Linked DNA regions of Rattus norvegicus. The protein of the gene in region 1 interacts with the protein of each later gene in a pairwise test. Links are inferred from orthologs where the notes say so. Each region holds a gene or a part of one and is shown in the gene's direction. Other genes may lie near its edges.

What was found.
Region 2: the proteins of Kifc3 (region 1) and Airim interact in binary tests that used the Homo sapiens proteins (3 or more experiments, as listed by UniProt). The two-hybrid records come from large-scale screens. The link is inferred for Rattus norvegicus from reciprocal best matches to the Homo sapiens genes KIFC3 and AIRIM.
Region 3: the proteins of Kifc3 (region 1) and Psmb1 interact in binary tests that used the Homo sapiens proteins (3 or more experiments, as listed by UniProt). The two-hybrid records come from large-scale screens. The link is inferred for Rattus norvegicus from reciprocal best matches to the Homo sapiens genes KIFC3 and PSMB1.
Region 4: the proteins of Kifc3 (region 1) and Stx11 interact in binary tests that used the Homo sapiens proteins (3 or more experiments, as listed by UniProt). The link is inferred for Rattus norvegicus from reciprocal best matches to the Homo sapiens genes KIFC3 and STX11.

What each region holds. Positions count from the first base shown.
Region 1 is NC_086037.1:9,902,333-9,910,214, forward strand, and holds part of Kifc3 (kinesin-like protein KIFC3), read left to right. Parts: intron 1-3,038; coding exon 3,039-3,177; intron 3,178-5,321; exon of another isoform or gene 5,322-5,813; coding exon 5,814-5,995; intron 5,996-7,882. UniProt on the Homo sapiens protein: Minus-end microtubule-dependent motor protein. Involved in apically targeted transport. Required for zonula adherens maintenance.
Region 2 is NC_086023.1:142,482,177-142,486,186, forward strand, and holds the start of Airim (ribosome biogenesis protein C1orf109 homolog), read left to right. Parts: upstream 1-1,210; 5' UTR 1,211-1,556; exon of another isoform or gene 1,557-1,642; intron 1,643-2,778; 5' UTR 2,779-2,781; coding exon 2,782-3,056; intron 3,057-4,010. Other genes in the region: Cdca8 (borealin), read right to left, coding at 568-696, 802-895. UniProt on the Homo sapiens protein: Part of the 55LCC heterohexameric ATPase complex which is chromatin-associated and promotes replisome proteostasis to maintain replication fork progression and genome stability.
Region 3 is NC_086019.1:65,132,744-65,136,747, reverse strand, and holds the start of Psmb1 (proteasome subunit beta type-1), read left to right. Parts: upstream 1-1,204; 5' UTR 1,205-1,442; intron 1,443-1,827; 5' UTR 1,828-1,995; coding exon 1,996-2,105; intron 2,106-3,912; exon of another isoform or gene 3,913-3,931; intron 3,932-4,004. UniProt on the Homo sapiens protein: Non-catalytic component of the 20S core proteasome complex involved in the proteolytic degradation of most intracellular proteins. This complex plays numerous essential roles within the cell by associating with different regulatory particles.
Region 4 is NC_086019.1:9,137,420-9,141,716, reverse strand, and holds the start of Stx11 (syntaxin-11), read left to right. Parts: upstream 1-1,497; 5' UTR 1,498-1,566; exon of another isoform or gene 1,567-1,689; intron 1,690-4,297. UniProt on the Homo sapiens protein: SNARE that acts to regulate protein transport between late endosomes and the trans-Golgi network.

The sequences.
Region 1 (7,882 bases):
TGGTCTCTTCAGCCTCCCGTATTAGTATTTAATATGTGTGTTTGCTGAACGATGTTTGCTGTTGGCCGCTTTGTGCCACTGCATCCTTAGACTGGGCATGGATGCTGAGAAGGGACATACGGGGCAGTAGCCCAGTAGAGGCTCCAGAGAGTCACCAGTGACCTCGCAGGCGTGACTACAAACAGGAGAGCACCAGGCACACAACTTGGGAGCATGAAGTTCCTGGGTTATCTGGGGGTGTTGTCCAGATTCCCCTAAGAGACGGGACTCATGATCCTCTAGTCTTCTTTATATTTTTGAGACAGGGACTCCCTCTGTAGTCTAGGTGATGTGGAGCTCACACCAGATACTCCTGTTCCCACGTGCTGTGGGTTTAGGAATAAACCAGCTTCTGATACACACACACACACACACACACACACACACACACACACACACACACACTCATCCTGCCTTTTCCAAGAGCCAGGATACTCCTGTTCCCACGTGCTGTGGGTTTAGGAATAAACCAGCTTCTGATTCACACACACACACACACACACACACACACACACTCACACACATCCTGCCTTTTCCAAGAGCCAGGAGTAAAGGCAAGTGCCGGTGGTTAGCAGGATGGGTGCTGGGGGAAACGCACACCTTTGAGCCATCCTCTTTCCAGCAGATGGATACAGTCCAGGGCTGCTGCTCTCGGCAGGACCCCAGGGATGATGGTGTTTAAGGGACAGCCTATGTTTCAACATGTCTCTTGGTTCTTGTGAGATTCTTCTGAGGACTGAACTGACCATACTTGTTTCTTTAGTGAAGTCTTCCAGGAGAGTGGGTCTGGTAAGACAACAGTTAAGGAAACCAGAGGGAAGTTAAATCGGGAGGCTGTGGTCATGAGCTGCAGCTCAGATGGGTGGTGGCCCTGTTCTTGAGCTTTGATTATGGGGTATTGGGCTGTGGCTGCTACGGAGGCCTGGGCTCAGCAGTTCTACTGACGCTCCATTCAGAAGCCGTTAGTGACCAGCTTCCAAGTTCATGTCCTTCCGGCCCTGCAGAGCTCTGCCTTATGGGTACGGACGGACGTGTGCCGAAGTGTGCTCCAAGCACAGGGGCAGGACCTGTAGGTCACAGACTCAGTCAGTCCAGCCTTGTTCCAGCCACTAAAGACCGAGTGGTACCTCCAGGACGCTGCAGAAATTCCCAGCCCCCTTTCTGTGCTTCAGCCAGCAGCCCAGAAATAGTAACCTTTGCTCCTGCCTGAAGGCAAATGGAAACTTCCAACTGTCGCCATCCCTGCCACCCCGACCTCCCCCAGCCTGCAGGAGATAGTGTAGCAGTTGGTTGAAGGGCGGGGACAGAATTAAGCTGAGGAGAAATGTCCTAAATACAAGAGATGGAGGGAGGAAGAGGCTGAGGATGTGGCTGACTAGGCACCTGCTGGGCCGATTTTCACTCTTGCGATTCTTTTTCTAAAAGATTTACTTTATCTATGTGAGTACTCTGTCACTGCCTTCAGTCACACCAGAAGAGGTCATCGGATCCCATTACAGATGGTTGTGAGCCATCATGTGGGTGCTGGGAATTGAACTCAGGACCTCTGGAAGAGCAGTCAGTGCTCTTAACCACTGAGCCATCCCTCCAGCCCTTGCAATTCTTTTGATTGGCCTTTTGATGCTCAAAGTTAGAGTGTAGGTCAGAGAAAGTATAAACTGATGGTAGCTATCCGTGCCTCTTTAAGGCACTTGAAGCATGCCTTGCTTGGTGTTGCCTTTGGTTTGCCCACTGGCACTAGAGGGCAGAGATTGATTAGACTGAGAAGGGAGGGAAACAGCTTCAGAGAGGGAGCAGAGTTTGTCTACAGCCACACAGCACACAGATGACATGCTGTCTCTGTGCTTTACCCTCCCTGTACCAAGCATTAAAGAAAAGGTGTGGCGCCTGGCCCTGGGATGTTGTCACAAGCCTTTAGTTCCAGTGGTGACAAGGCAGAGGCAGACAGATCTCTGCAGCTTCCAGACCAGTCAGGGCTACAGCATGAGGCCCTGTAAATAAAATAGAACAAGATTGACACTTGGCTTGAGACAGAAAGGCATTTTCCCAGATGCCCTGTGAACACAAGCACAGCAAAGCCGTGTCTTTAAGGTAAAACAGTCGAGCCTCAGATGGGTCCAGAACGACCTGGAGCCCTTCCTGATCAGATCCTCCTCTGCGGCTGTGACGTTTATCTCGATCCCCCAGGTTTAAGTTGCTCTTGTTTCCGTGTCCGTGGGTCTCTGTGTGCGCACAGCCCCACACCAAGCGCACACACAGACCCCGCTGCCTGTGAGCTCCCAGTTCACCTTTCATCTGTCTTGTGTATTATTACCCTTAAATGGGTTCACGTTCCCCACACCGTCTGGACCCTTGCTTGGCGTCTTTCTCCAAATGAAGTGCCCCACTTTACCCCTCCACTCACCTGCCCCAGCCCAGCCACCTTTGCCTCAGTCCCTTGACCAGGACATGGGGTCGCATTGCCCCTGGATAGCCCCATGGGACACAGCATGCAAGAAGCAGAGTGGCCGTTCTCCTGGTCAGATGGACTCGTGTGTAGCCTCCTGGTTCTGGGAGTGCCATCCTTAGGTGGGAAGCTGTCTACCAAGGTGTCACAGCAGGCGACACTATGACACTATGGGGGAGTGGCCCTAAGACTGCCGTGTGTAGGCAGGACAAGACAGCCACCTGCATTAAGGCTCGTTAGGAGAATGCTGCTCACATGTTGCTGCCCCCTGGAGCCTGAAGGGATAGCACAGACTTTATCTAGGGGACGTAGGTTCTTAGAACCCCTTTTACCGGTGTGGAGACTGACTGTGGTGGCACCCAAGAATAAATTACTGTCATCTTTCTGTAGGATGTTAGTCTGACTTCTCCGGTTTCCAGGCAAGACTCTTTGTCCACACCTCCTTGGTGAAGACAGTGCTTGGGCCCTGGGACCAGAGTGCTCACAACCCCAGGGCAAGGGTCTCTCCTCAGTGCAGTCCCTTCACGAGAGGATTCTGGTTGTGTCTTGGCAGCAGGCCCTGCAGGACAAGGGGTGCGAGAGCAAGAGTCAGGGGACGAAAGAAGACAGACTCCCGAAGAGGCAGGCGCCGGCCCCCAGGCGGGACCGGGAGGCCCCAGAAGCTGGTGGTACCATGAATGTAGAAAAACCAGGTAAAGGAGGTCAGCCCCACTGTCTGACACGCTCTGGCTGAGCGAGTGCAGGAGGGAGAACTCTGTCCCACAGCTGGAAGTGGCTCAGCCAGGCTGGCCACCTGACATGAACCTGAGACTCCGACCAGCCTCGTCCAGATCCATGGACAGCCATGTGTCTGTCCTCTTTCTTGTCCTGCCCCTTGTCCCAGGGCCACCAGGGCCCCACCCAGTGATAAGACTTTGGCCAGTGGAGGTTGGGTTGGATTTCCCTTCTTTTTGTCTTTTCCCAGTACCTACCTAAAGCAGGGCCCAGGAGCAGCCTCGCAGACGCCACCAGTTCCTTCAGCAAAGGCCTGGCTCTGTTCCGGTCAGAGGATCCAGAGGTCAGGGACTCGTTTCCCTCCCTCCAGGCAGAGAAAACTAAGCCTGCAGTTCCATTATCCCCTGACCACTAGGGCACCTAGAACTAACTGGTTTTCAAAGGTTCTCCAGGTTCCTTTGCTGTCTTCTGGGTTTTCAGCAGAAAGTACTGGCCAGTGAACACAGGGAGAGAACATCTTAGGGAGCCTCGGGGCAAGGCCAGGAGTACTGGGGAGAGGTGCTGTTTTCTCAGAGTCTGTGTGTCTGAACTTGCTGGGGTTGCTGGAGGAGGTCCCTCCCTCCTCTGAATCTGAACCAGTGCCTGTTGTGTACAAGCCCTGGTCCATCTAGATTCAGGGCAGGCATAGGGTGTGTAAGCAATGGGCAGTCAGGTTTTCAAAATGGCTACCATCTGGCCAGCTAGGTGGGGTAAGCCCAGAGGAAGGAAGGCTAGGTCCTCCTAGCTCAGGCATAGCACCTGAGCTCTGGGCCCTGTCGTGGTCCATGCCTCTAGAAACTGACCTGTCAGGTGGTAGCTTCCTCAGCAGGGGCTTGTCCTGCTCAAGCACCCTTGGGCCTCACCTCTCCTCCCTTCTTCCCTTAGCTCAGTCCTCCCTTAGCTTCTTCAAGAGTGTCTCTTCCACTACCCATGACTCTGCAGCTTCCACTCAACTCCTGGCCCTCTTACACAGGGTACCATGCTGTGGTCTGGGGCTCAGAGCCTCCCAGGACAGGAGCGGTGTCATGGATGACACTCATACCTGTGTTTCCAATGGGACTCCAGCTATTTTCCCATGGCTGCTTTTGGGCTAGGTGCATTGTCCCTGTTTCACACAGGAAGAGCCTGCAGGGTCCCTCCCATGTGATTCAAGAGGCAAGACCAGCTCTCAGCCCAGCACATTCGGTCGCGCACCGATGCAGTCTGTGGCCTTACTGGTCACATGTCACCCGTGGCAGCCCCGTGTGCTGGCCTAGAAGCATCGGGCTGCCCTTACTCCCTCTAGAATAGATCACAGAGGCTGGACCTGCACTGTGTGACTTTCATGCTGTGTCACATGCAGGGCCACACAGCTGGGGCCACTTGCCTAGCACGGGTTGTCCAGCCCCAGATCTCGGGGGTGGGGGGAGAGGACACCAGCCCCACCCATGGGAGCCTAGCTTCAGCTGCTCCCTCCCATTTCCCTATACTGCCCTGGGGCTTTGCAGAACTGTGGTCAAGGCTTGCTAGTGGTGGGGGTGAGACACAGGGAGGCCCCTCATCTCTGAGGAAGCCAGAAGCTAAGGCAGCATTGAAGTAGAAGGCTCACCAGCTAGCACTGGACTTCTGCATGCCCAGAATCTTTGCAGGGCCCCGACTTGGGATGCTGAGGGGAGGAGGCAAATTCTTTTCTTGTCCTCCTGGACCGCTATTGGTTCTGCATTACACAGGCCAGGCTGTTCTCCTCTTCAGAGCTTTGGAACAAGCACCACAGCCCCATTACACATCACAGCCTGTCTCTCATCTCGATGACAGAACAGTAAAAGGTGTTGGGGGAGGAGTCGGGCTGAGGCCTCGCCTGACTTGGTATTTGTCTTTCTCTTGTGCCTGCATACAGGCACCATCCTGAGAATGTGCTTAACTCCTTGTCTGTTCCACGTGCTGGCCCATCTGTGCCCTGATCTGTTGCTTGCACACATCCCCTTACCCCTCCTCCACACTCACAGGGACCACGTCCCACAGAACAGCTGGCAGACAAAGCCTGGTCCTCTCTGCTGTGCTTTTTTTTTTTTTTTTAAAGATTTATTCATTTTATTATATATAAGTACACTGTAGCTGTCTTCAGATACACCAGAAGAGGGCATTGGATCTCTTTACAGATGGTTGTGAGCCACCATGTGGTTGCTGGGAATTGAACTCAGGACCTCTGGAAGAGCAGTCGGGTGCTCTTAACCACTGAGCCATCTCTCCAGCCCTCTGCTGTGCTTTTGAGAGATCGAGAATGAGCATGGAGAGCCACTTCTGAGTAAGCCTCTATTCTTTCCCAGGAAATCGCCTGAGTGCAGGCCAAATTTCCTACTTTGAGGGGACTCAGGAAAAATTATTTTCTTAAGTCTTGGTTTAGTCAGTTCTGTCCTCTAGAAACTTTTGCTAAAGTGACTTCCCCAGAGGACAACCCGGAGGTCCTCTGCAAACCCATTTTGCTGTATTCTTCAGTCCTCACCCTAGCCCCAATGGTGCGCTTGTTGTGATGGCTGCCTTCCTCCTCCAGGCAGACCTCCACTGTCCTGCTGATCAGCCACTACTTTGCTTGTAGGTGGGCGGCTCCTTGGCATCGGGAGGTGCTCAAGCCTGTCCGGGTCACCAGGCCCAGACCCCGTGGTACATAGGACCGTGGAGGCCATGTCCCAGCTTCAGGAGGAGCTGGTAGTCCTTCGGGAGAGGCTGGCCCTCCATGACAGTGACCGGCAAGCCACAACCACCCAGCTGCAGAACCAGGTACCTGGGGAGGCAGGGATGAGCAGAGGCCACTCACTGCCCTCTGGAGCAGGTCAGAGGACATTGTCAGGGTACCTAGACTCCACCAGAAGCCAGATGGTGACCCTTTCCTGGTCTAGGAAGATGCTGCAGGGCGAGGAGGTTCAAACTTGGCTTCTTACTGCAACAAGGGCCTTTAGCACCTCAGTATCTTCCCAGCCAAAAGGTTTTCCTCTCTAATTGATTAAATCTACTTGCTTATTAAGGGGGGGAGTTGAAAGTGAACTGCCCAGACTCTCTGGTCTCCCTAGCCCCACTCGCTCATCACCTGTAAGGAGGACGCCCAACCTACCTGACGCCTCAGGCCTCAGATGACTTACGGATTCAAACCGGTACCTAGCCTCTGCTTGGGGTTTTTTGGTGAGCTTTTTGACTATGTGTTTATTACAGTGTTCTTAAGGGATGATCCCTGTAGCTCTGTACCCATTAGCTGTGCTCTGTAGGGTCCAACCCTGTGGAGACATGGCCAGCCTCCTGGGCCTGGAGCTGTGAGTAAACCCTGACTGTCTGGGAGCACTTACTAGTCCTGGGCTAGATAACTACCAGTCTGCGCCTCTTTTCCTCATCTGCAGACAGATAACAGGATCCAGATGTGCTAGCACCTGTCGGGGCAGATGTGGCTCTGGAACTCTGGAAATAGCTGTCTGAGGCTGTCTTGGCTGTGAGGCTGTAGGGAATGTTGTCAGTCCTGTGAGCCCCATTTTCTGATTTCTAACCAGGCTGATGACTATCAGATGGGCTGGCTGTAAGAGTGGACAGGAAGATGGTTATGAACTATAAAGTGTGGTGTCCTGTAGGGGGCTGTCGCTGGACCTCACTGTGGGTTTTGTTGTTTTGTTTGTCGGCTGTTGGTTTTTCTGAGATAAGCTCCCCGATCTAGCCTAGTGTGTCTTGGAACTCACTAACTAGACCTGTCTATCTTGCTGTCACCATGAACGTCACAGTCGATAGTAGCCACCTTCTGGGCACGGTGAGTAATACTGCTACCAACACCGAAGTTCCTGCTTTCAGTTCTTTGGTGTGTATGCCCAGAATTGGGATTACAGAATAGTGTAGGGCTTCGTTCTTTGTTCTTGTTTATTTAATGTTGAGACGTGGCTCTCTTTTCCTTGCTTTTTTTTTCCCCCTTCATTTTTTAAAAGACAGGACCTCACCGTGTGGCTCTGGTTGTCCTGGAACTCCCTGTGTAGACCAGGCTAGCCTCAAGCTTTCAGACTCCTAGAGACCTACCTCTGCCTTCCAGTGCTGGGATTAAAGGTGTGCGCCACATGGCCAGGGTCTTCATTGTTTTAGCCCAGGCAGTTTGATGTGGTTGAGTTGTAGGTGTTTTCTGGATGGTAACCCTTCATTCTCAGTAACTGGTGAGCACTTCCTTCACACTCGGTGTTGTCTTCACTCGCTCGATGGCTTTGGGTTCAGGGGTGATAGATGAAGCTCTCTACCTGTGATGCTATTTCTTTTTTTTTTTTTTTAAAGAGTTATTTATTTAATGTATATGGATACACTGTAGCTGTCTTCAGACATACCAGAAGAGGGCATCAGATCCCATTACAGATGGTTGTGAGCCACCATGTGGTTGTTGGGATTTGAACTCAGGACCTCTGGAAGAGCAGTCAGTGCTCTTAACCACTGAGCCATCTCTCCAGCCCGTGATGCTATTTTCTTATGTGTCATTTTTTACTTTTATTATTTATGTGTGTGTGTGTGTTGCCTGCGCATGTCTGTGCCACTGCACGTTATATCTGCAGAGGCCAGAAGAGGGCATCAGATCCCTCAGGACTGGAGTACAGACACACACAGACACAGACACACACACACACATACCATACACACAATACACACACCATA
Region 2 (4,010 bases), on another chromosome or scaffold:
CATGATGTATCCTGGTCTTGCATTTCTCTCCCTCCTCTGTAAATCGGCAGGAAAACTTTTATAGTCCTACCAAGTGCCTGCATCCTTGCCTAGGCTAGCTTAGGCTAGGTCAGGTCAGTGTGGAACGGCCTTCCCCAACCTCTGAAAGCCTTCAAGAATCAGAAGCTCACTTTGTACTATGGATTTGATCTTTTCTCTCTTCCTCTTCCTCCTCCTCCTCCTCCTTCTCCTCCTCCTCCTCCCTCCCTCCCTCCCTCTCCCTCCCTCCCTCTTCCTTCAGCCCCCCCCTCCCCCCCCCTCATCTATCTCTGGTATATACCTTCTAAAGCTCTCCTCCCACTGAGCAGTGAAAGTGTGAAGCACTATCCTAATAACACTCATCTGAAGGGTAATTCATGCCCGCTTCTTTCCAATGGGTCTATCACTTTTTTTTTTATAAGTTATGACAGATGGCAATTTCCCACCGGTGGCTATTTAAGACCTTATTAAGACATCTGAATGAGTCCCTATAGAAAGTTTTCAAGATAAGCACTAATCGGCCACGGGGGAAACGCTAGCAGCTCTTACCAAAGTAGTCAAGCCACTTCATGACTTGCAGCGCCTTGGGGAGCCGAAGGACCTCGATGTTGTAGAGATTTTCCACCTCCTTGAGGAGGGTCTGCCTGTCGGACTCAATTTGCTTGGTTCGAACTTGCACTGCAAAGAGGTGAAAGCCGATGGATCCCGCGTCAGGTGTGCGAAGCCGTCGCACCCGCGCCCCAACCCACCCAAAACTCACGATCACGCGAATCCACCCCTTACCCTCGCGGTCGAAGTCCTTTAGGAAGGAGGCGAGCTTCCGGCTCCGCAGTGTGTTGGTCCTGGTCCCGCGGCTGCTGCGTTTCTTAGGAGCCATGACACCAGGGTGCGTCCAGCGAGGGGCCGAGCTGCCGGGTTAGCGAATGAGACCGGGAAAGAGGGCGTGAGTGGTCGGGGAGCAGCGGAAGTTCAGTCGTTGGAGTCTAGGTATCCTGAACTCTGCGGAAACAAACCTGGGGGTCCCAAAACAGACTCAGGAAACCTTACAGCTCCAGCTGAGGGACGGGTTGATCTTCCACTAACCGCCACCCAATTCAAACTCAACGGGCACAGCCTAGCCAATAGCAAATCGTCGTCTTAGGACGGTTCTCACAAAGTCCAATCACAACAAAGCTTCTTCTCCCTCCGTCAGCCAATCCTTATGGAGAACTACAATGCCCAGAAGTCATTGAGGCATACGCCATCTTTTCGCGACTCCAGAGTCGTGCTAACTAGAACTGGAGTGGTGAGTTCGGTCTTGTGAATGAGCAGACAGTGCCAAGCCCCGTGTAGTTTTTGATGTACTCAGTGTTGACAACCCAGGATTTACGTTTTCCTGTTGATTTAGGAACAGGGCTGGAAATCTTAAAGAGAGGAGACAAGACTCCAGAAGCACTGGTCCGGGGATAGACAGACCCCAGGGCTTCGCAATCTAAAGTAGATTGCACTGTCGTTTAGAAACCCCTTCGGAAGACCTGCAGTCCTTCTGCAGAGAACTGGTAAGAGGACCGCCGCAATCTTTATTCTTGAGTGTCAGCGGTGACAAGACAGAGGAGCACAGCTTCACTCTGCCTACTTCAGCAAGGTGAGGAGTTCCCCTAACCTTTTAGGGACTTCAGCTCAGTTGATGGCTCTGAGGCTGGAAAGAACTCAGCACTAGCCAGTCTATGAAGCAGAGTTACATGCACACATTTGATACGGGGGCTCACCATTTAACTCAGGCTAGCCTGGCAGTCTCTGTGTAGACTAAGTTAGCCTCGAACTTACAGAGATCTGCCTGTTTCAGTCTTCCATGTGCTAGGATTAAAGGTACATTCGTCAACTCCCAGCCTAAAGCTTTTAATACAGGCTTAAGCACAGGGATTAAGAGAGAAGCACTTAGGCATAAAATAGAATACACTTGAAGGCTGCTCAAACAATCTCAGAAAGTTAGACATAGTCATGTGGGTCTGGTCTTCTCCAGGGAGATCAACAGTTGACACCATCCCCCGCCCCCCAGTTTCTTGAGACAGGGTTTCTCTGTAGCCCTGGCCATCCTGGGACTGTAGACCAGGCTTGCTTCAAACCCAGAGATCACCTGGCTTTGCCTCCAGAGTGCTGGGATTAAAGTCATATTACATTAGCCGTGTATACTTATTTTGGTAGCTTTCAGGTTACATCTCAAAAGGGTTTCTAAAGAACCCTTGTTATTCTCTTCAAACAAAAAGTTGTTTGAGAAGAGAAGTAAGTGAGAGGGCTTCCAATATTCTCTGATGGTATTACAATCCAATAAAGTGAAATCAGGAGCTCCTATGGTTGTAAATGGAGCAGTGTGTGACCTTTCTCTGTAAATTGGATTTCTGGTGAGATTTCTAGAACATGGAAGGAAGGAAGGCCTTAAGCAGTTGGTTGTAAATGGAGTAGTGTGTGACCTTTCTCTGTAAATGGGATTTCTGGTGAGATTTCTAGAACATGGAAGGAAGGAAGGCCTTAAGCAGTTGGTAAGTATGCTGCTGAAATTCTTACTTCATTGTTGGTCGAAAGTGTCAACCTGCTTCCAGGACGAAGAGTTCTTTTCTGTGTCACCTAGAGTCTCCCTACCTTTCAATATTGCCTTGGGACTATTTGAAAACCAAATCTGGTCTTCTCATGAGGTCAAAAATGACTCACCCTTGATGTAGGCTCTCCCTTTTTGGTACCCTGACTCTCTTTTGTTTTGTTTTGTTTTGTTTTTCTACCCAGAAGATGGCTCATGACCAGCCGCTGCTGGTTGTGCAGGAGGCCCTGAAGAAGTGCTTCCCCGTGGTGGAGGAACAGCAGGACCTGTGGCAGAGCACTCTGCAGGACTGCTTGCCCCTCCTCTCCTCTCTCAGCAATCTGGCTGAGCAGCTGCAAGCTGCACAAAGTCTGCGGTTTGAGGATGTGCTAGCCCTTCGTCCCTTTCCAGACCTGCAGGAGCGATTGAGGCGCAAGCAACTAGAGGCTGGTGACATTGTCCTGGACAAGCTAACTGAGAGGCTGTAAGATGCTCTGTGTCCCCCTTTGTTGATGGACAGATCTTAAGGCTGTAGGGCATCTCAGCCTCAGTCATGGTGGGCCTACAAAAGTTGACAGAAGCAAGTCAGGAGTAATCATGCAGGGGGCTAAGATTGAATGTCTGTAAGTTCGAGGCCAGCCTGGAGTAGGTTGTTTTAAAAAAACCCAAACCAGGCCAAGTGTTTAATCTCAGTACTAAGGAGGCAGAGGCAGGCAGATCTCTGAGTTCAAGGCCAGCCTGGTCTACGTAGAGAGTTCCAAGACAATCAAGGCTACACTGACAGACCCAGTCTCAAAATAAAATAAGTAAGTAAACAAACAAATAAAAATAACCCCAAACCAATTACATAACTGAAGAAATGACAAAAGCAGAAAAGAAGAGGAGAGGAAGAAGAGTCTTCCTTGGTATTCTGTAGAGTCAGTGAGAGCCAGGATTAAAGACTGTATGTACAGGACCTTGTACACCCCTGGCTTAACCCTGCTTATGCATTTGGAAGCAAGAAGACAGAAAATAAACTGATTGTCCTGATCACAGAGCCAGTGAGAATTAGAGCCGGGATTCTGAAGTGTGCCTGCCACTTAAGCTGGGCTCCTCACCACCACCTCCTTCTACACACAAGTGGATACATGTGTAACCAGTCCACAAAACAGTAACAACTCAGGCGTTACTGATACTCTGTTTTCTGTTTGTTAAGTCACAGTGTATAAGCAGGACTTACAGACTTGCTGGTTTTGGGTTGTTTCCTGTTTTTACACTGTAAGACACAGCCGGATCTTTAGAGCTAGAGTTCTGGGCTGGGAGATTCCTTGTCCATTGGGAAGTTGCAGTCTTTGTTTTAGTGATGAGTCCCTTTGCGTCAGCATTAGAATGATATGTAGGCACTGCTAAAGGCACCTTATATACACCATCATATTTCTCTCTCTGGTGACAGTGAATT
Region 3 (4,004 bases), on another chromosome or scaffold:
GCACTGGATTTCATGACCCCGCCGAGGCGGTGGTCCAGAGACTGGTACTCCCGGAGCCGCCGCAGCCCGCGCGGAGGACCGTTCCCCGCCCGGCCGCGCGCCCATTCCGCGTCTCCTCCGGCAAACTCCAGGGACCCGCTGCAGAAGTCGCTTTTGTTAAGGCCTCCAAGCAGAGAAAAGGATGAAAGAACCGTTACCTGGGCACTGCGGAGAAAATGACGCGACCGCAGAAACCTAGCCAAACCGCCAGCAGATACCCGCCACCGCTACCGGACTCGACCCCACCGAACGCCTGACGCACATCTGATGCCGTCACTTCCGCCAGTTGCGCTCTCGACTGGAGCCCGGCTTGTTGTGCTTAAACTGTGAGACACTCGTGAAAGAAAGGGGTTGGGTTGGTGTCCCAGCATTTTCGGGACCAGGCCTCTGACCGCCCTTTCTAGCTGTCAAAGAGAGATGTAGAGTGTGTAGCGGGAACAGTATTGGGGATGTGGCTATGGGGATCAGGCTCAAGCAAGCGTTCTACCACTGAACTGTATACATCCTCGATCTTCCACGTGTTGTTTTTGTTTTTTTGAGAGTTTCTCCTTGTCGCTCTGGCTGTCTTGGGACTCACTCTTGTAGAACAGGCTGGTCTTGAACTCAAGAGATCGCTTGGCAAGCTCACTGGGTCCTCCACTTTGCTCTGTAGAGTTGAATGATAGTAGTAGTTGCCTCTTAGAGATTTGTGAGATGGATAACGTGAATGGCAAGCAGACGCTTCTTATTATGTTCTCAGTAAATGTCAACTTGCGTCCAAAGAGGAACAGCAAAACAAGCGGCTTTGTAGTCACAGACTCATTTCTATTTTAACTCTGCTACTACCAGCTCTCGTCCTTGCTGTCACAAGAAAACGTCAGCTGTTTCTTAGACTGGTTCTTAATGCTTGATTTGATTCCAACATACCTTAATTTTTTCCTTCCATGGTTCACCTAGGCATATACATGTGTTGTTGTGCTTACTCCCCCCCCCCCCGGTGTGTGTGTGTGTGTGTGTGTGTGTGTGTGTGTGTGATAGAGAGAAAGAGAAAGAGAGAGAGAGAGAGAGAGAGAGAGAGAGAGAGAGAGAGAGAGAAGAGAATCTGTGTGTTGTGTATAGCTGTTGAATAGGTTGCCATATGCATAGACTCTAATAAGTACAATAGTATTGTGTATCTATTTTCTCCTAAAGGAAACATTTTCTCTTGGAAGTACAGGAAACCACAGAAGACTGGGGAATTAAGAAAACTTAACAAAGGCCTGACAAGAGACAATTTATGGGAAGCAGATTTATTTTGGCTTAGTGCTTGAGGGGCTACAATCCAGGGGAGAGCATGACACCTGGACTGCATCCACAAATCGGAAGCATAAATTAGATAAATATTAGTTCGCTTCTTTATTTAGTCCGGAAATCCAGGCAATGAGGTGGTACTGCTTATATTTTGGTTGGGTCTTTCCTCTTCTATTAAACCTTCTTGAAACACCCGCATAGACATGCCCATGGGTTTTACCTAGGTGATGCTAAATTCTGTGAAGTTAACAATATTAACCATCAGATTCTGACTGGAAACCTAGTATTGCTTCCTGGGTCTCATGGCTGCATACACCACACAGTTGACTACGCATCCCGATTCTCAGGCCTTGAATGCAGCAGGAACCACTAACCCTTCCCAAACGCTATGCCACTTCACCAATGTGACATCCGAGTTGTCGTTACTCTGTAATTGGGTTAATTTGTTGGTATAGTCGGACTTTTAATTTTCTATCCGCCATGAGTAAATCCAAATGTTTTCTTGGGATTATAAAACAGGTCTCTCGGAATCGGCAGATCCAGGTTGTGCGGTAGTTGGATGCAGGCGTGGACCTCCAAGAGCAGCGACGAGTACAGGCTAGAGGAGCCCAAGGGGCGGGGCGAGGGAGGCGGAAGTGGACCGGTCCCAGCGGCCATTTTGCCGTGAGACAGCAGGAGTTAGGCGCGATGCTTTCCACTGCCGCTTACCGGGACCCGGACCGAGAGCTGGTAATGGGGCCTCAGGGCTCCGCCGGCCCTGTGCAGATGCGTTTCTCGCCTTATGCCTTCAACGGAGGGTAAAATCCTGGGTGTGCTGCGCTCATCTTGGTTGAGTCCTGGGGTCGCTGCGGGCGGGTGTGGGAATGGCGGAGATGTAGCCTGCTGCCCGGCACTCCAGAGTTGTGCATGAACGCCCTTGGTGCCGTTTGCTTCAGCAGGGCGGGTCCCACTTTAACTCTTAGCTCTATGGGCTATCGTTTGGTAGGGCTTAAACACGTTTCTAAAGCCAGCGCGTGAACATGAAGTTATGAATTGTCTTGATTGTTAGACGAGTAGCTGTTTATTATCGCTGAGTCGTCTGATCATTTATTATATTAAAAGGAAAATAATATAATTAGCCAGACCTAATTCCAGGGATGAAAAGTTAAGGTGGTTCTACTCTTGAGAGACGTAATCTGCTGGGCAAGTTCTACTGAGCTGCATCCCCAGCCTTAGACAGTCGGACCCTTTGTGTGTGTTTATTTTTACTCTCAAATTACTTGTGCATTTTAATCATCCGTTTTATTCGAAGGGATGGTCCTTTCAGTTATTTGAGCTACTTTATAGGTTGAGGAAGACTCAAAGTGGTTACTCTTTTTTTGTAAATTTCAAGCAGTTAAGTGAATATTTTATACTCTTAGTTCTTGGCTCTTGGCATTTTAAACAGCCCAGGTCATAGAGCTGGTGTGAATTAGAACTGGTTTTCAGTTCATAGCGTTCTCAGCCTTGTCCAGTTTCGGTTTGCTTTTCCAGTTGCTTAACTCTGCACGTGAACACTAAGTACTTACATCGTAAGGTGTGTTAATATAATAATTTCCAGGTGTTTCAAATGCAGTACTCACGATTCACTTTTTAACTCTCAGTTCTTACCTGTCACTTTGTTCATAGTTACTTAAACCTGCCTGATAAATAACCTTTCTCCTTTCTCTTTCATACCTTTTAGCATTTATTGCAACTAGCCCTTCATGCAGCTTCTGATTCTACAGTATATTAATTTCTCTTTGTAGCTTCCAGGTTTTGTTACTTTAGACCTTTACTTGCCTCATCCCTGGGAACATAATTCCCAAGTCTGTTTCTGTAACTTTATTTCTCAAAAGTCCCCTCAGTTCTGGCCTCGTTGTAAAACCATTTCTAACTGCATTTTCAGTTCTCAACATAACTCAAGTTAGTAAACAAAATAAGCGAGGTAGTTACTGCTACTCCTTCCTTGAACGGACCCCTTGTGATGATGTATGTCATCACCCTGCTTGGGTCAGTTTAAAGGGGTGGGGTATGTTGTTTTCCTCACTAAGCACATTTAGGGAGTAGTAAAACCTTGGTTGCACACAGTGGTATTGTATTTGAATTTGTCCTTCTTCCTCTGTCATCCTTTCTCCCTTCTGTTTCACCACTTGTATTGGAGCAGTATTTATGTCCCATTTCACATGCTGTACTATTGTCAGAATTGTCCTAAAACCTCACTTTGCAAATGGAGCATTCTCATTCTTGTTCTTTGTGACCTTCAGGACTCCTTGCTAAAATTCTAAACTCTAGCTTGGCACAGTCCATCACATGAGGATTATGTCTCTGGTTACACAAAAATGACCACCTTAATTAAGTTGCCTGAGTGGCCTGTGGTGATACTTCTTTTTTCCTTCTGTTGCTGTTCATAGGTATTTGGAATGCCATTCTTTTTTGCTTTGGAATTTTAGTACAAAACTTGCCTCAGTAAAAATAGTAGGTAATGTTTTCTGGATGTTTATTTCCAAGAAGGAAATATGTTAGGTACTCTATGTAACTTGTGTGTTTAATTCTCACACCCTGTGTAACACAACAATACCGTGATTACCATCAGTTTGAACATGAAGATTTAAAAGTCACACAGGTAATAAGTGGCATGAGTAATTTCAGTGCCCAGGTACTTAGTTATCACATAGTGCAGTCCCACTGTATTTTAC
Region 4 (4,297 bases), on another chromosome or scaffold:
CTGATGCCTCTCCTTATTTTCTATTCTAGGTTCCCCTTCTATCAAGATCCGACATTAACAGGATGGAGTCATTCTGGCTGAGAAACCAGCCTCCTCCCTCCATCTTTAGTTAAGTGTTTTGTTTCCATTTTCAGAGATTCCTTTCCTTTTATTTTATGTGTGGGAATGTTTTGCCTCCATCTACCGTGTACATATCATGTGTGCGACCGGCACCCACAGAGGTTAGGAGAGGCACCATGTTGGTGCTGTGAATCGCACTCAGGTCCTCCGCAAGAACATCAAGTTCTGAGCCGTCTCCCACCGATTTGTTTTTGTTTAATTCCGAAACCCACCTCCCAGCCTTCTCAGCATCTTCCGTGGCCGGTTAAGATTCTTTTCTCGTAGGATCTTTCAACAGCTGTGAGTAGGATTGGTCAGGCATTTTCGTGGGGTGGGGGTGGGAGTGGGGGTGTGCAAGTGGATTTGTGGTTGTTGAACCAGGGGCAAGCTCCGCTCACTGTCACAACATCATTTATCTGTGTGGTAAAAACTACTTTCCTCCTCCTTTCTGTACAGCCCTATGTAGAGGAGCAGGCTCTCTATATTGAGTGCAGAGAGACAAGTTTCTTTTCCAAGAAAGTGGGTTTCTGCTTCGGTTGCTTGAAGTTGCTCTGCTCCGGAGACTTGTGGACCTATTTCATCGGCCATCTGTTCACGTTAGATGAATAACTTTGTGTTACCATCCAGTGCCACCTCGTTCCTCAAATTCTTCCGGCTTTAGGCACCCGGAGCTCTTTGGGTGACTTCCTAGCATCAATGCACACATCATTTTTCTGTTTTAGATGGTTAGCCTTCGCCGTGTTTGTCCAGAGGCTTCCCATCCGCTCACCCGAAAGCCCCTTTTCTCTTTCCGAGTCTCTAGTAGGGTGTCAGGCTACGAGGACGAGGTCGTGGCAGTACCCGTGGATGCCCCACTGACAGCAGGCGGGAAGGGACTAGTGGAAGGCGGGGCTCAGTGTCTTCAAGATCCACAACCTCCGGTTCAACCATCGCGCGGGTCTCTGCAGGCGCAGCCACACCCACGCTCAGAAACGGTTTCTAGCGTCCTAGCCTCGGAAATGCTCTGGACTGCAAATGTCATTCATGCCGAGGGGTTTTCCCTTGGAAAGTCCGACGAATCCCGCTCCGCCCATCTCTCCATCCCAGAGCACCGAAGAAGACAGAGGAAGTTTCCCGGGTGGTCCACACGGTCGCCCGCAGCATCTCGGGGCGCACAGCAGTGGAGGGAGGCTCGTGTCTAGGTTCTCAGCCACCCGCACCGTGGCGACTCTCGTCCGTGAGGACGAGAAACTGCGCGCCCAGCCCAGGGCGTCCCCGGGGCGGGGCCTGGTCCCCCAGCTGTGCAGGCTCAGCGCGGTGGGGGCGGAGCCAGCAGCGCCAGATGCGGCCGGGGTGGCGCAGAGCTCGGACCCGGCTGAGAAGCGCAGCCCTGGCCATCAAGAAGCAGAAGAGGCAGAGCCTCCGGGACGCGAGCATTGCGTGTCCTCCCGGCGTCCGGACGCTGGATCAGCGCCCCGCCGGATCACGGTTCGTTTCGTCACGGGAGTGTGCTTTGGTTCTCAAACTCTTTGGGCATCGGGGACCCGGGTGCGGGGCTGGCTGGAGTGGCGGACCTCACTGGCCCAGGGCAGGGATGCTGCCCAGCAGCAGGTGGGTTTGGGGTGTGGTTCCCTCTGCGCCTCTAGGTACCTTCAGGACGCGGCTTTGGGTTTCACTCCTAGAGCCAAAAGCTTTTTAAGTCTTTGAGAATCTAAGGCTTTATCAGAAGTGCTTCAGAAATGACTGGTGTAGTCAGTTTTATTGTTTTATTGAATGGAGGTGCTTCTTTTCCGTTTGGTTGCCACTTTCTCAAGCACATCAGAATGGGCACTTCTCCACTTGAACTTGACAGTATGACTCAGGAGCCAGGAAATATGGGAACATTGATAAGGCGTTGAAACAGCCCGCACAGAAGATTTGGGGGAGTTTGTTTTAGGGGGGAGCGATCTGGTGGCTTTGCTTAAAGAACCACACTACGGAATTCTTTTGGCTTCTTTGGCCGAGACCAGCTGAGACCTGCGTTTTACTTCCTGTGGCTCTCTCACACTTAGTAGAGCATTTCTCAGCAGAGGGAGGAGCTGTTGTTTCTACACGGGTATCCACAAATGAGTCAGAAGGCGACTATAATTGCAAGGCTTTGTTAATACGCTTTTGAAAAGCGAGGTTGGATCCCTGTACTTAGAATAAGAACGGAGATGAGTCTGGTGCTGTCAAACTGGGGCAGGCGGCCTAGGAAGTAGCTATTCAAGTTTTCAGTTTCCTAGAGCGTCTGATGGGACAACATGCCAGCTAGGGTCACTAGGCCGATCTGAGATAACCCTTAAAATCATGTGCTTTCCCACAGAAGCTGAAGAGAAAATTAATTCCATTATCCAATAACCATTTGTTTTCACTGGTTGGTAGAAACTGGGCATTTAGTGGAGTGATTGTAAGTTACTCCGAAATTTAAAATATTTCAGAAAGTTTATTTTTTTTACCAAGTTAGTACTTTAAAAAATATAGAGAGAAGCTTTTGAAGAAAGTAGATGGTTGCTAGAGCCAGACATTAATATGCTCTTAGAAACAGACTTCCCTATCTAGAAGCTAAGCAGAGGCAAGAATAACTGTGTATCTTGGCTGAGCTGAGGTCAGCCCTAGACAGCAGTTACAAGGTTCTGGTCTGTTCTTTTCCTCAAGTTCCATGTGTACAATCCCAGGCACAGTGCTATCCTGACAGCCAGAGCCACAGCTGAGCTGATTTTCCTGGAAATCCAACATTGTGAGATGGGTGCTATTGTGTTTTATAAAAAAGAAAAAGAAGTCAGGGATATGTTTAGTAGAGGTGTGGGGGAAGGGGGTGCCTCTGTGGGTCCATGCTGAGGCATCCCTTTCCCCTGAGGGACCATCCATACATGGTATAGTATAAGAGTATAGAATAGAGTTTATTTAGGGCATGGGGAGGGGAGTGGACGGGGTAGAAGAAACAGAGAAAGGAGAGAGAGAGAGAGAGAGACAGAGACAGAGACAGAGACAGAGACAGAGACAGAGACAGAGAGACAGAGAGAAACAGAGACAGAGAGAGACACAGAGAGAGACAGAGACAGAGACAGAGAGAGAGGAAGGAGGAGGAGGAGGAAGAGAAGGAGGAAGAATAGAGAGTAGAGGCAGGCTTTGATCAGGTATAGAGGCGGGTAGAGGAGAATGGGGAGAAAAGGGACAAAGAGCAAAAGAGTGAGGAGGGGGCAAGCAGCCCCTTTTATACTGAGTCAGGTATATTTGGCTGTTGCCAGGTAACTGTGGGGCAGAGCCTAGAAGAAATGCCAGCAGGTGCTGTGAGAAATTTACACCCAAAGGAGGCGCCCCAGTGTGGAGGATCAGAATATCCTGGATCACTCTTGGGACAGCAAAGGAAAGTCTGGGTTCCCATCATCTGCTTGTCTTGGTTGGCAGCCAGGTTTTCACTCAATACATACATGATTTGAAAAGCATATTTGTATGTGCATATGTGTATGATTTAAAGAACATACTAGTGAGGCGTGGCGTTTAAAGTGTTTGAATTAACCGTGTTTTGTATTGCTCGGTAGCTGTGTGAAAGCAAACCCAGTCTGTTATCATCCCTGGGCACTTATGGGCACTTTCCTGTGTCTTTTAAACAACAGGGAGTGACTTACGAGCCATTGGTGGCTTTCTGCTCATCGGTTGTTCCTTATCTGAGGACTGGCTTCACTTCCTTGATTTTTATTACCCGAGCTCTGAAACGTGAAATAGAAAGTTCCAGCAATAATAGTATGCATCTATTTATTTTACTTGAGACGTGGTCTCACCGCGTAGCCCTGGCTGACCTAGAATCCACAGCTATCTCTCTGCCCGCTTCTGCCTCCTGAGAACTCGTATTAAAGGTGTGTGCCACCACACTTGGCAGTGAGATGATGCTCTGAGAGAGGGAATACATCCACACCAAATTAATTAGAACCATATCGTTGTAATTGCTCCACTATTAATTCTTGTTCATCTCTTACTGTGCATAATTTATGAATTTAAACTTTATCTTAAATACGCATGCACGGAGAACAGCAGAAATAGGTGTCAGGCGTTCACCACAGTCTCTTGGCTCAGATCCCTGAGGGTTAATTTCCCAGTCCTCTGAGGTGGCCAACTAGTAAAAGGCTCCATTACCACATCTTTCACCTCTGTCTCATCGCTCCCTCCGCAGCCTCAGAGCCACATCTTCTAGAGGAAA